2 linked regions of the Daphnia pulex genome follow. The protein of the gene in region 1 purifies or fractionates together with the protein of each later gene. This does not show direct contact. Links are inferred from orthologs where the notes say so. Each region holds a gene or a part of one and is shown on either strand. Other genes may lie near its edges. The genes, in order: AP-2 complex subunit alpha-like and protein numb-like.

The links.
Region 2: the proteins of AP-2 complex subunit alpha-like (region 1) and protein numb-like purify together in Drosophila melanogaster (affinity purification with western blotting; 5 studies listed by BioGRID). This does not show direct contact. The link is inferred for Daphnia pulex from reciprocal best matches to the Drosophila melanogaster genes AP-2alpha and numb.

The regions. Positions count from the first base shown.
Region 1 is NC_060028.1:3,027,585-3,031,962, forward strand, and holds the start of AP-2 complex subunit alpha-like, read left to right. Parts: upstream 1-1,459; 5' UTR 1,460-1,583; intron 1,584-1,642; exon of another isoform or gene 1,643-1,686; intron 1,687-2,353; 5' UTR 2,354-2,370; coding exon 2,371-2,434; intron 2,435-2,532; coding exon 2,533-2,744; intron 2,745-2,818; coding exon 2,819-3,012; intron 3,013-3,094; coding exon 3,095-3,218; intron 3,219-3,409; coding exon 3,410-3,517; intron 3,518-3,637; coding exon 3,638-3,746; intron 3,747-3,815; coding exon 3,816-3,966; intron 3,967-4,119; coding exon 4,120-4,288; intron 4,289-4,345; coding exon 4,346-4,378. Other genes in the region: speckle targeted PIP5K1A-regulated poly(A) polymerase-like, read right to left, coding at 1-231, 508-617, 696-813, 889-1,060, 1,197-1,211. UniProt on the Drosophila melanogaster protein: Adaptins are components of the adapter complexes which link clathrin to receptors in coated vesicles. Clathrin-associated protein complexes are believed to interact with the cytoplasmic tails of membrane proteins, leading to their selection and concentration.
Region 2 is NC_060020.1:5,122,170-5,126,663, reverse strand, and holds the start of protein numb-like, read left to right. Parts: upstream 1-1,527; 5' UTR 1,528-2,560; coding exon 2,561-2,650; intron 2,651-3,382; coding exon 3,383-3,559; intron 3,560-3,682; coding exon 3,683-3,754; intron 3,755-3,829; coding exon 3,830-3,907; intron 3,908-3,980; coding exon 3,981-4,121; intron 4,122-4,306; coding exon 4,307-4,494. Other genes in the region: splicing factor 3B subunit 2-like, read right to left, coding at 1-106.

The sequences.
Region 1 (4,378 bases):
CAGTAACGGATGATCCAAAAAGATGAAGGCAACAGCCAGGAAACTCGAGCGACAGCCATTCCTCTAAAGATGATATGATCTGAGACTTCGTGCTTTTTTCTTCTTCTGTAGTTTCTACTATCTTAACCAATAAATGAATTTGCTCATCTACAGGTATCACAGCATTTGATTTTAAAGTTTCTTCAAATTTTCTTTTGAAAACCTCAATTTCGTCAAATAATCCAGCTGAACCTAGAAATTAAAAAAAGGGAATCTTACTAACGTGATTGAACAAAGCGATCATAATCAAAATAATTTTGGTATCGTAAAATCGGATACCCGTTCCCATATAAGAATGATTTTCAACCGACTTATCACATTAATAAACTGCAAACATATTATAATCCTATTTGAAGATGACAATTAAAACTAATTTACAAAATATGTTAACATCAATCAAAATTAGATTAAGCAGCAACTAATATAAACTCAGATGTTTAAAAAAAATTACAACTTAAATTTAAAAACCTTTGGATGATGAGTTTGTTAGATTATGTTCAACTTGATTTCTTGGTTGCACTCCCAACAAACTTCCTTCCACATGATGAGAGCATTTCAGTGCCATATCTGCTTGCTTTCTTTAAAGGTTAAAAACAAAATCTAAGTTAAACATTGATACAAAAATATTGTTGATGATTGTGAAAAATTTAACCAACTTTGTTCTGAACTGCAACAATCCTGTGTTTTCCGTTTCATTCCTTAAAATGGCTATTACTTGTCCAAATTGTTTGAAATGTTTTACTAGTTTGTCTTTCCTTAGGGAAGTTGGAATTCCTAGTTTTAAATGGATAGAAAATATTTCAAAATACTGAACACAGAATAAAGATTTCTCAGGTATCTTTGAATTACCAGTAATATAGATTCCTTCACTGCTAATTTGTTGAGAAATTCTCTTTTTCATTTTTATTTGATTAACTAGCAAAATATGCTTTTTTCCTTTCAAATGTTGCTCCATACTGATGCGGTCTATTTGTATATTGCAAACAGAGCACAACTCTTTTGGCACATGTTTTTCTTCATTCTTCATGGAAAAGAAAAAATCATATTAAAGTCTTAATACAAAAATTAAGTTAATAGAAAAATCATACATTGTACATAAAATGAGACTCTTTGAAGTTGGAAATATTAAAACAAAAATAAATAAAAGAGGGCCATACCTTGACTTGATTCATTCTACTTCAGTATAAAGTTTGGAATTGTCTAGCCAAAACGTTACTGGAAGTAGGAGATGAACGGTAGTTAGTGAAATGAAGGAGATTATAGCATTTGTTTTGAAACCTTGGAGCAAGTTACAAAACGTGCTGGCTTGTTCAAATCGGACTTTTTATTAGCAGGTGCATGCGGCAATTACGGCATTGACGATCACCATCACCTTATTGTTATTTCATTTCAAGCAGACAACAGTTTTGCTCATTGAAATTTCAGCTCAACCGCTAGATGTCCTAGATGTCGTGGATGTGTGAAGTGGGTGGTATTTGGTATCGTCTTAGGTTTACTACATTGACAGTAAAGGCAAGGAGTTTCTTCACCGGTCGAATATCTCAGTAAGAATTGGCACTTGGTTTTTCATTGATATTCACATATATTTCTATTCTTTATCAAGTTTTGGGTAGTTTGATCGGTTGTACTGGACTAGTTATATACACGGTATGCCTACTCTTATACGAGACATTTCTGATCTCTTTAGTCCTTACTCCATTAGGTTATAATGACAGGAACCACTCATTTTATAAAATTTCGGGAGTAGACCTTGATAACAGTCTTTTTGTTTGAATCTGTGTTTTATGAGGAAATCTTTAAAAACCAGAAGGTGTCATTGGTCTATTACACTACAATATCCTTTTGTATGTTAGTGGTCTCGAAGTTTAGTTTCAGTTATTTTCATTTCAATGAGCCTATTGCACTTCAAATTTTCAAGTTAATTTATCTATTACCTTCATTAGCAGGGAACTGAAATTTTGTGATTCTAGATTATGCCCGATCATTGTAGAAATGTTTTGGTTTTTTTATGTGGGCCACATATTATTAGGGTTTCTAAAAATTGTTTTCATTTTAATGATTGAGTATGTAGTGTGACTAGATCATTTTAAAATATGGTAATTATTATGCATTTAGTTGTAAGATTATTTATGACCTGCACCACGAAATCAATATCTGTGGCTTCGGTGGCCATTACGTACGACTGTGCGCAAGCGCTCTACAAACGTATATATTTATATATACACATATAATTTTTTAAAAATAAACACTACTGTAACAGCCTAATACTTTGTATAGTATTGTATCTTTATTAATACTTCGATCTCTATTGCAGTTGAGAACAGAAAGAGAATGCCGGCCGTCAGAGGAGATGGTATGCGGGGCCTGGCCGTCTTCATTTCGGACATTCGAAACTGTGTGTATTTTCTTCATTTTTGTTCTGATTTCATTTTGTTTTTGTTTTATTTGTTTATTTTTCATTTTTTTTTTTTACATTTTACCATCTGTCTGCAGGTAAAAGCAAAGAAGCGGAAATAAAGCGAATTAATAAGGAGCTGGCCAACATACGATCCAAATTCAAAGGCGACAAAACCTTGGATGGCTACCAAAAAAAGAAATATGTGTGCAAATTGCTATTCATCTTCCTCTTGGGACACGATATAGATTTTGGTCACATGGAAGCCGTCAATCTTCTATCATCCAACAAGTACACCGAGAAGCAAATTGTACAAACCATTTGAACTTTTTCGATTTTAGTGCAGTTTTCATTTATTAATATTTATTTCACACCTATCGTCAGGGCTACCTTTTCATCTCAGTGCTGGTCAACACTAACAGTGATCTGATTCGATTGATTATTCAAAGTATCAAGAATGATTTGGCGTCACGCAATCCCATTCACGTTAACTTGGCACTTCAGTGCATTGCCAACATAGGAAGCAAAGAAATGGCCGAGACCTTTGGCACAGAAATCCCGAAATTACTTGTGTCGGGGTAAGTGACTTGAATTACCTTTGCAGAAAAAAAAATAAGACATTTTCATATTTTAAATTTGTTCATATAACATCATAAACAGAGACACTATGGACGTTGTAAAGCAGTCGGCTGCTCTCTGTCTTCTGAGACTGCTTCGAACCTGCCCGGAAGTCATACCAAGCGGAGAATGGACATCACGAATTATCCACTTACTAAATGACCAGGTGTGAATGACCTGGTAGCATGATGGCATTAGGTTCCTAAGTTCAAAGCCTTTCTTGGTCGAAGTAGAAGAGGAACCTTCGGTCGAAGATCGACAGTTGTTCGAACAAGATATTCCTCTCCATTGTCCACATCATGATTTGAATTGGTCTTTACCAAAATAATATCAAAAGCATTTCTTCTTTTTTTTCAGCACTTAGGAGTTGTAACGGCTGCTGCCTCTTTGATTGAAGCCCTGGTGAAACGGAACACTGACGAGTACAAGGGATGTGTTAGCCTGGCAGTCTCTCGTCTCAGCCGGGTAAATTCGAAATATAAATTCCAATATACTTTACTAATGTTATTGTTTATCAATCTAAACACTACTACTAAAATCAATCAAAAGAAAAATAAATAATTTGTTTTTCTTAATTGCATTCAGATCGTGACAGCCAGCTACACAGATTTACAGGACTACACTTATTATTTTGTACCCGCTCCCTGGCTGTCTGTTAAACTTCTGAGACTACTGCAAAACTACCCTCCACCGGGTAAATTTCTGAATTTAATCAGAAGCAATTTAATGTTGTCTTAAATATGAATTATTTATTTCATTTCAGAGGATGCCGGTGTCCGCGGAAGATTAACTGAATGTTTAGAAACCATCTTAAACAAGGCACAAGAACCGCCGAAATCAAAGAAAGTGCAGCATTCTAACGCTAAAAATGCTGTTCTCTTTGAGGCAATCAGTTTAATCATTCACGCCGATAGGTGGGTTTTCTAAAAAAAAATTCTTCGCTAGTAGAAAATATTTTTTCCTATTCTAAATCGGCATTTGCTATTACCACATCAGTTAGTGTGTTATTTGAGGCGGAGGAAATATTGTGTGAAGTCCCTTACACCTTTGTTGTCTTTTAATTTCAGTGATGCAACATTGCTCGTTCGGGGATGTAACCAGCTCGGCCAATTCTTGTCCCACCGGGAAACAAATCTGCGGTATCTAGCACTAGAGTCGCTATGCCTCTTGGCGACTTCAGAATTTTCCCATGACTCGGTGAAGAAGCATCAGGAGACTGTCATCAATGCACTTAAGGTATTCACTCCTCTCGAAAACAGTGATTACTTTATTAGAATTCTCTCTTTGCTACAGACGGAACGAGATGTATCGGTGCGTCAACGAGCA
Region 2 (4,494 bases), on another chromosome or scaffold:
TAGCACCTGATCCATACATACCGACAGCATTACCCTGGAAGGACCTTGAAGGATCTCCATACATGTAATTCTCCTGGCCGTAGCCGGGCGGCATGTGATGATCCATGTCAAATTCAACTAAATAACTTTCTGTTTCTAAAGAATAATCACACAATCAAAAGGGTGTTTCAAATCAATAGACAAAATAGACGCGTCCAAGTAAAACACGATGAAGTTTTACGTTAATTTAAAACTGCCTTGAAAGAAACACGATAGCAAAACAAGTTTGTTAGAGAACCAAACGGGTGAAGCGAGTAAACGACGACCAAATGAAGCCGAATCTAAAAGCCATGATCAAATCGTATATTCATTGAGGTACCACAGAAAACCAGCAGATGGCGTTCACGACGCGCCCTAAATTTTTAATAAAGGCTTGTGCACACTATCAACACCAGATGGCAGTCTGATGAATCTTAAATGATTTTTTTTTGTGGTGGCACACTGAGAGAGATGCAGTTGCAGTCAAAACGGTTTCTTAAACCGAAGTGCTCTGAGAGTATTGCTAAAGCGGTGGGAGTGGTGTGATTAGTTAGTTTGTGAACGTATTGTTTTCATTGAGATCGTCCAGTTCATCGCGAGGCCGGTAAGTTTGGCCGATTCTGTTTTGGTGTGTGTTGACAGGCTTTTCGTCGGGGCTTGTTTTCAGTTTCTCATTCAAGGCAGTCTTGGTTGGTTTTCTCTCTGCCCAGAGGTCTACAGCATCAAGTGAAACCGACGGCATTTGTTCTCTCCCCTTTACGTTTGTACATACCTTTTGTAGATTGTTTTTTCCAGCCTATTTGATATTATCGTTTTTCGATGGGAAAATTCTCATCGACAATCACATTTTCGTAAAATCTGATGAGAAACGTTGCGTGTGGCCATTTCACCCCTCTTGAGATTTTTTGGTGTCGGTGAACCGATCAAACGTTGGTAGAAGCTAAAAGAGAAATCAGTTTCATTATCAACAACCCTGATGTGAGATGTGCCTGTGAGCCGGATCGATAAGAGACTTTCATCACACAGGCCGTGTAGCAACTTCACTAGGTCTCTCTCAGACTCTCACGCCATTACGTATACACGTTGACATTCTTTCCACGAAGCCATTACCGTTTCTTTTTCTCTCCTTGTCTCTCATATACGTTTACGGTTTTATTTTTTCTTTTTTTTGACGATGAGTGAAAGAGTCGGCCTTTTTCGCCATAGGGCATTGTTGATCCAGGGTCAGTGCAACCGCAAGGCCAAGAAACTAACCAATTTGGTTGCTTTTCCCACTTTGAAGATTGTGTGTGTGTGTGCTGCAGCTAGTAGTAGTATATTTATTATCAGTAGATTATTAAGCAACCCTTGTCCTCTAACCGTCTGCTGACATGCTTATCGATATATCATTTGCAGACGAGGTAACTTCATTTATTGATTCGACCCTTGGCTGGCTTTGAACAAAGGTAAATCATGAACGTAATCTACCTTGCCCTGCATTGATATCGTGTTGGTTTCTATGACATGAAAGAGAAAGTGATGGCCACATCACGTTGATGTTTGCCGGACGTATCACAGGACTAACTGATAAAAGCAAAGTGTCCTTCAACGACGTAGGGCTCTCTCATGTGGTTCGTTCACCTCCTCTGTTGCGGGTCCATTCATATTCATGTATGCAATAACCCCCGTACGAGATGTGATCCGTCACCATAGATGCCATCATCGGGAAAAAACAATTTCGATGAAGCCCATCTCTTGTTATTATTATTTTCGATGCTAACCCCGAGACTGTAGGAATCGGCTGCTACCTTTTTTGTCTAGCTGGAAAGAAGAGAGAAATAAGTCAGTAAAAAGGTAGAAGAAAAGACAGAAAAGAAGGAGGGAGTTCAAAGATGGCCTCGAGCTGAACAAGCATGAAGGCCAAAGCCTCATGTTACATACCTATGGCAACACGAAGGGAGCCAACCACGGTCGCATGCGTCTATATACCTGGTCGGGACTACATTCCACTCTTTGGCAGTAGTTTGCTTGGGTTTCTCACGTCACGGGCGCCATTTTGATGGTCCGCCTTGCTGGGGAACGTTCGCTTGTTGTTATAGTCTGCTCCTCCAGCAGCTTCGCGGTCGTTCTCATCGATTTCCCTCCCGACGTGATTCAACTGGACAGACGTTTTGCGTCCGTTTTACGCCATTTCGTTTCTGTGTTTTACGGCCGAGTGTGATCTTTTTTAAGAGTGAACTAGATTGTGACTACTGTGTGTGACGTGTGTTTGCACGTGCGGAATCGTTTGTGCAACCCAAAGAAATAAGACGGAAATATTTGCTCGTCTTTCTGTTTTACCGGAATGGCAACTGGGCGGATATCTCTTATTTTCTGACTTTACGGGTCGCCGGTGCCGGCGTAATGGAAACCGGCCGTGTGACGACGCACGAATTTAATTCGCACGGATCTTGATGCACATCTAGTTTTTCGTTCATCTACAAAATATCCAACAAAAAACTCTTTTACATTTTATTTTGCACACATTGCACCACCAAATCTTAATTTAAAAAAAAACCAAAACATGGGCAACGCCCATTCTGCTCTTCCGCACGATCCGCTCGAATCGGCCGTAACCCATCCGATCGCTCCGGTGGCCAATGAAATCGACAAGGTGATCGGGTCTCTTATATTTTAATTCCTGCTTAACATTTGACCGTGGCCAACTCGATTTGGTCGAATCAAGGAAACTTTCTAAGAATGTATCGGGTAATTTTAGTTGAGGAAGCAAAAGGTTAAAAAAGATTGGAATGTGGGCTAGGTTGGGTCTCGGAGCGTGTAACACGTTGCGTCTTACCTGGGGCGTAGCGATGACCTGTTGCCCTCTGGCGTTAGCTGACGTGTGAAGCGACGTCACGCCCCCCTTTCCTCTGAGGCTCCAGCTCCTCCTCTTTGATCTTGCCATGTTTTTCTTTTTCACGTGTGTGTGTGTGTCTGTCGTTTCCCGAACGGAGATGCCCTATTCTTTTATTATCTCACAAGTTGCTGTTTATTCTTTGGGTAATAATCAAGATTCGGTCGAAAGAATATCTCTCTTGGCAATGGCGCGCCGTCTCGACGTGCCCGCGCTTGAGAAACAATCGATAATATTCGGGGCGTGTGGGTTCTCGTTTCTTTCGTTAATTTTTTATTATTCCACCGAGGTACCGTACTCTTCAGGGCATGATTCATTGCGTGCGTTTGCGAAAGCGTAACGGGATAGTTGCGCTAACTGAACGAATTTGCCGTTATGTTGCAACGTTAATTTCTCCATGAAACGGCTGGAATGGCCGGAATTCGGGTTGGACCCGACACCATTGCAGATCGCGGCGTCTCTAATATTTTGCTTCGGTTTTTCTTATTGCAGGCTGAGAAGAGCGAGACCAAGGAGAGCGGACGCCATAAGAGGATGGAGCGATTGCGGAGAAGCTTCCGCGAAAGTTTCCGTCGCCGCAAAGACCACGTCCCCGAGAGTTCAAAACCGCACCAATGGCAGTCGGACGAGGCTGCCGTTCGAGCTGGAACTTGCAATTTTTACGTCAAGGTTCGTGAGCACGTTATATACATTGTGCAGGACGTATATTTTTGTTGTTGACGTTTGGCAGGAATCCACGTGGTTCTATTTATTTGCGATTCGCTCACCTTTTTGAATTTTTATTTTTTCCAGTATCTGGGATGCGTGGAAGTGTACGAGTCACGTGGTATGCCTGTTTGCGAGGAAGCACTCAAAGTGCTCAGGGTAAAATATTCATTTCCATTGAAACGATGATGACAAAATATTCCACATTTATTTATTTATTCATTCCCAAAACAGAATTCTAGACGTCGACCAGTAAAAGGCGTTCTGCACATTTCCGGCGATGGATTACGAGTTGTCGAAGAAGACACCAAAGTATGAAATTTCCGTTGATTTCGTCACCGACATCTTAGACTCACTTTTCTCTCTATTGCATCGTGAATCACAGGGATTGATTGTCGACCAGACGATTGAGAAAGTCTCCTTTTGTGCTCCGGATCGTAATCACGAAAAAGGATTCTCGTACATCTGTCGTGATGGTACTACGCGTCGTTGGATGTGCCACGGATTCTTGGCCAGCAAAGACTCGGTGAGGATCGTAAATGAATTGCTGTCAATCCAACAGAGAGAGAGAGAGACAAGCTTGATTACCCCAATAATGAAAGTGGCCATCGTCAATGATAATGGATTGACGGTTTCCGGTCTTATTTCCTCCTTTGACTTACGCTGGTTATTAATACTATTGTTGATGCCCTGGTTTTTTTCTTTTTTCAGGGAGAGCGGTTGAGTCATGCAGTGGGTTGCGCTTTTGCCGTTTGCTTGGAACGGAAACAAAAACGAGATAAGGAGTGCAGCGTGACGATGAATTTCGACACCTCCAACTCTACATTCACGCGCTCGGGCAGTTTTAGAGCAGCGCCCTTGACGGAACGCATTCAAGATCCGCAGGAATACAGACCGGC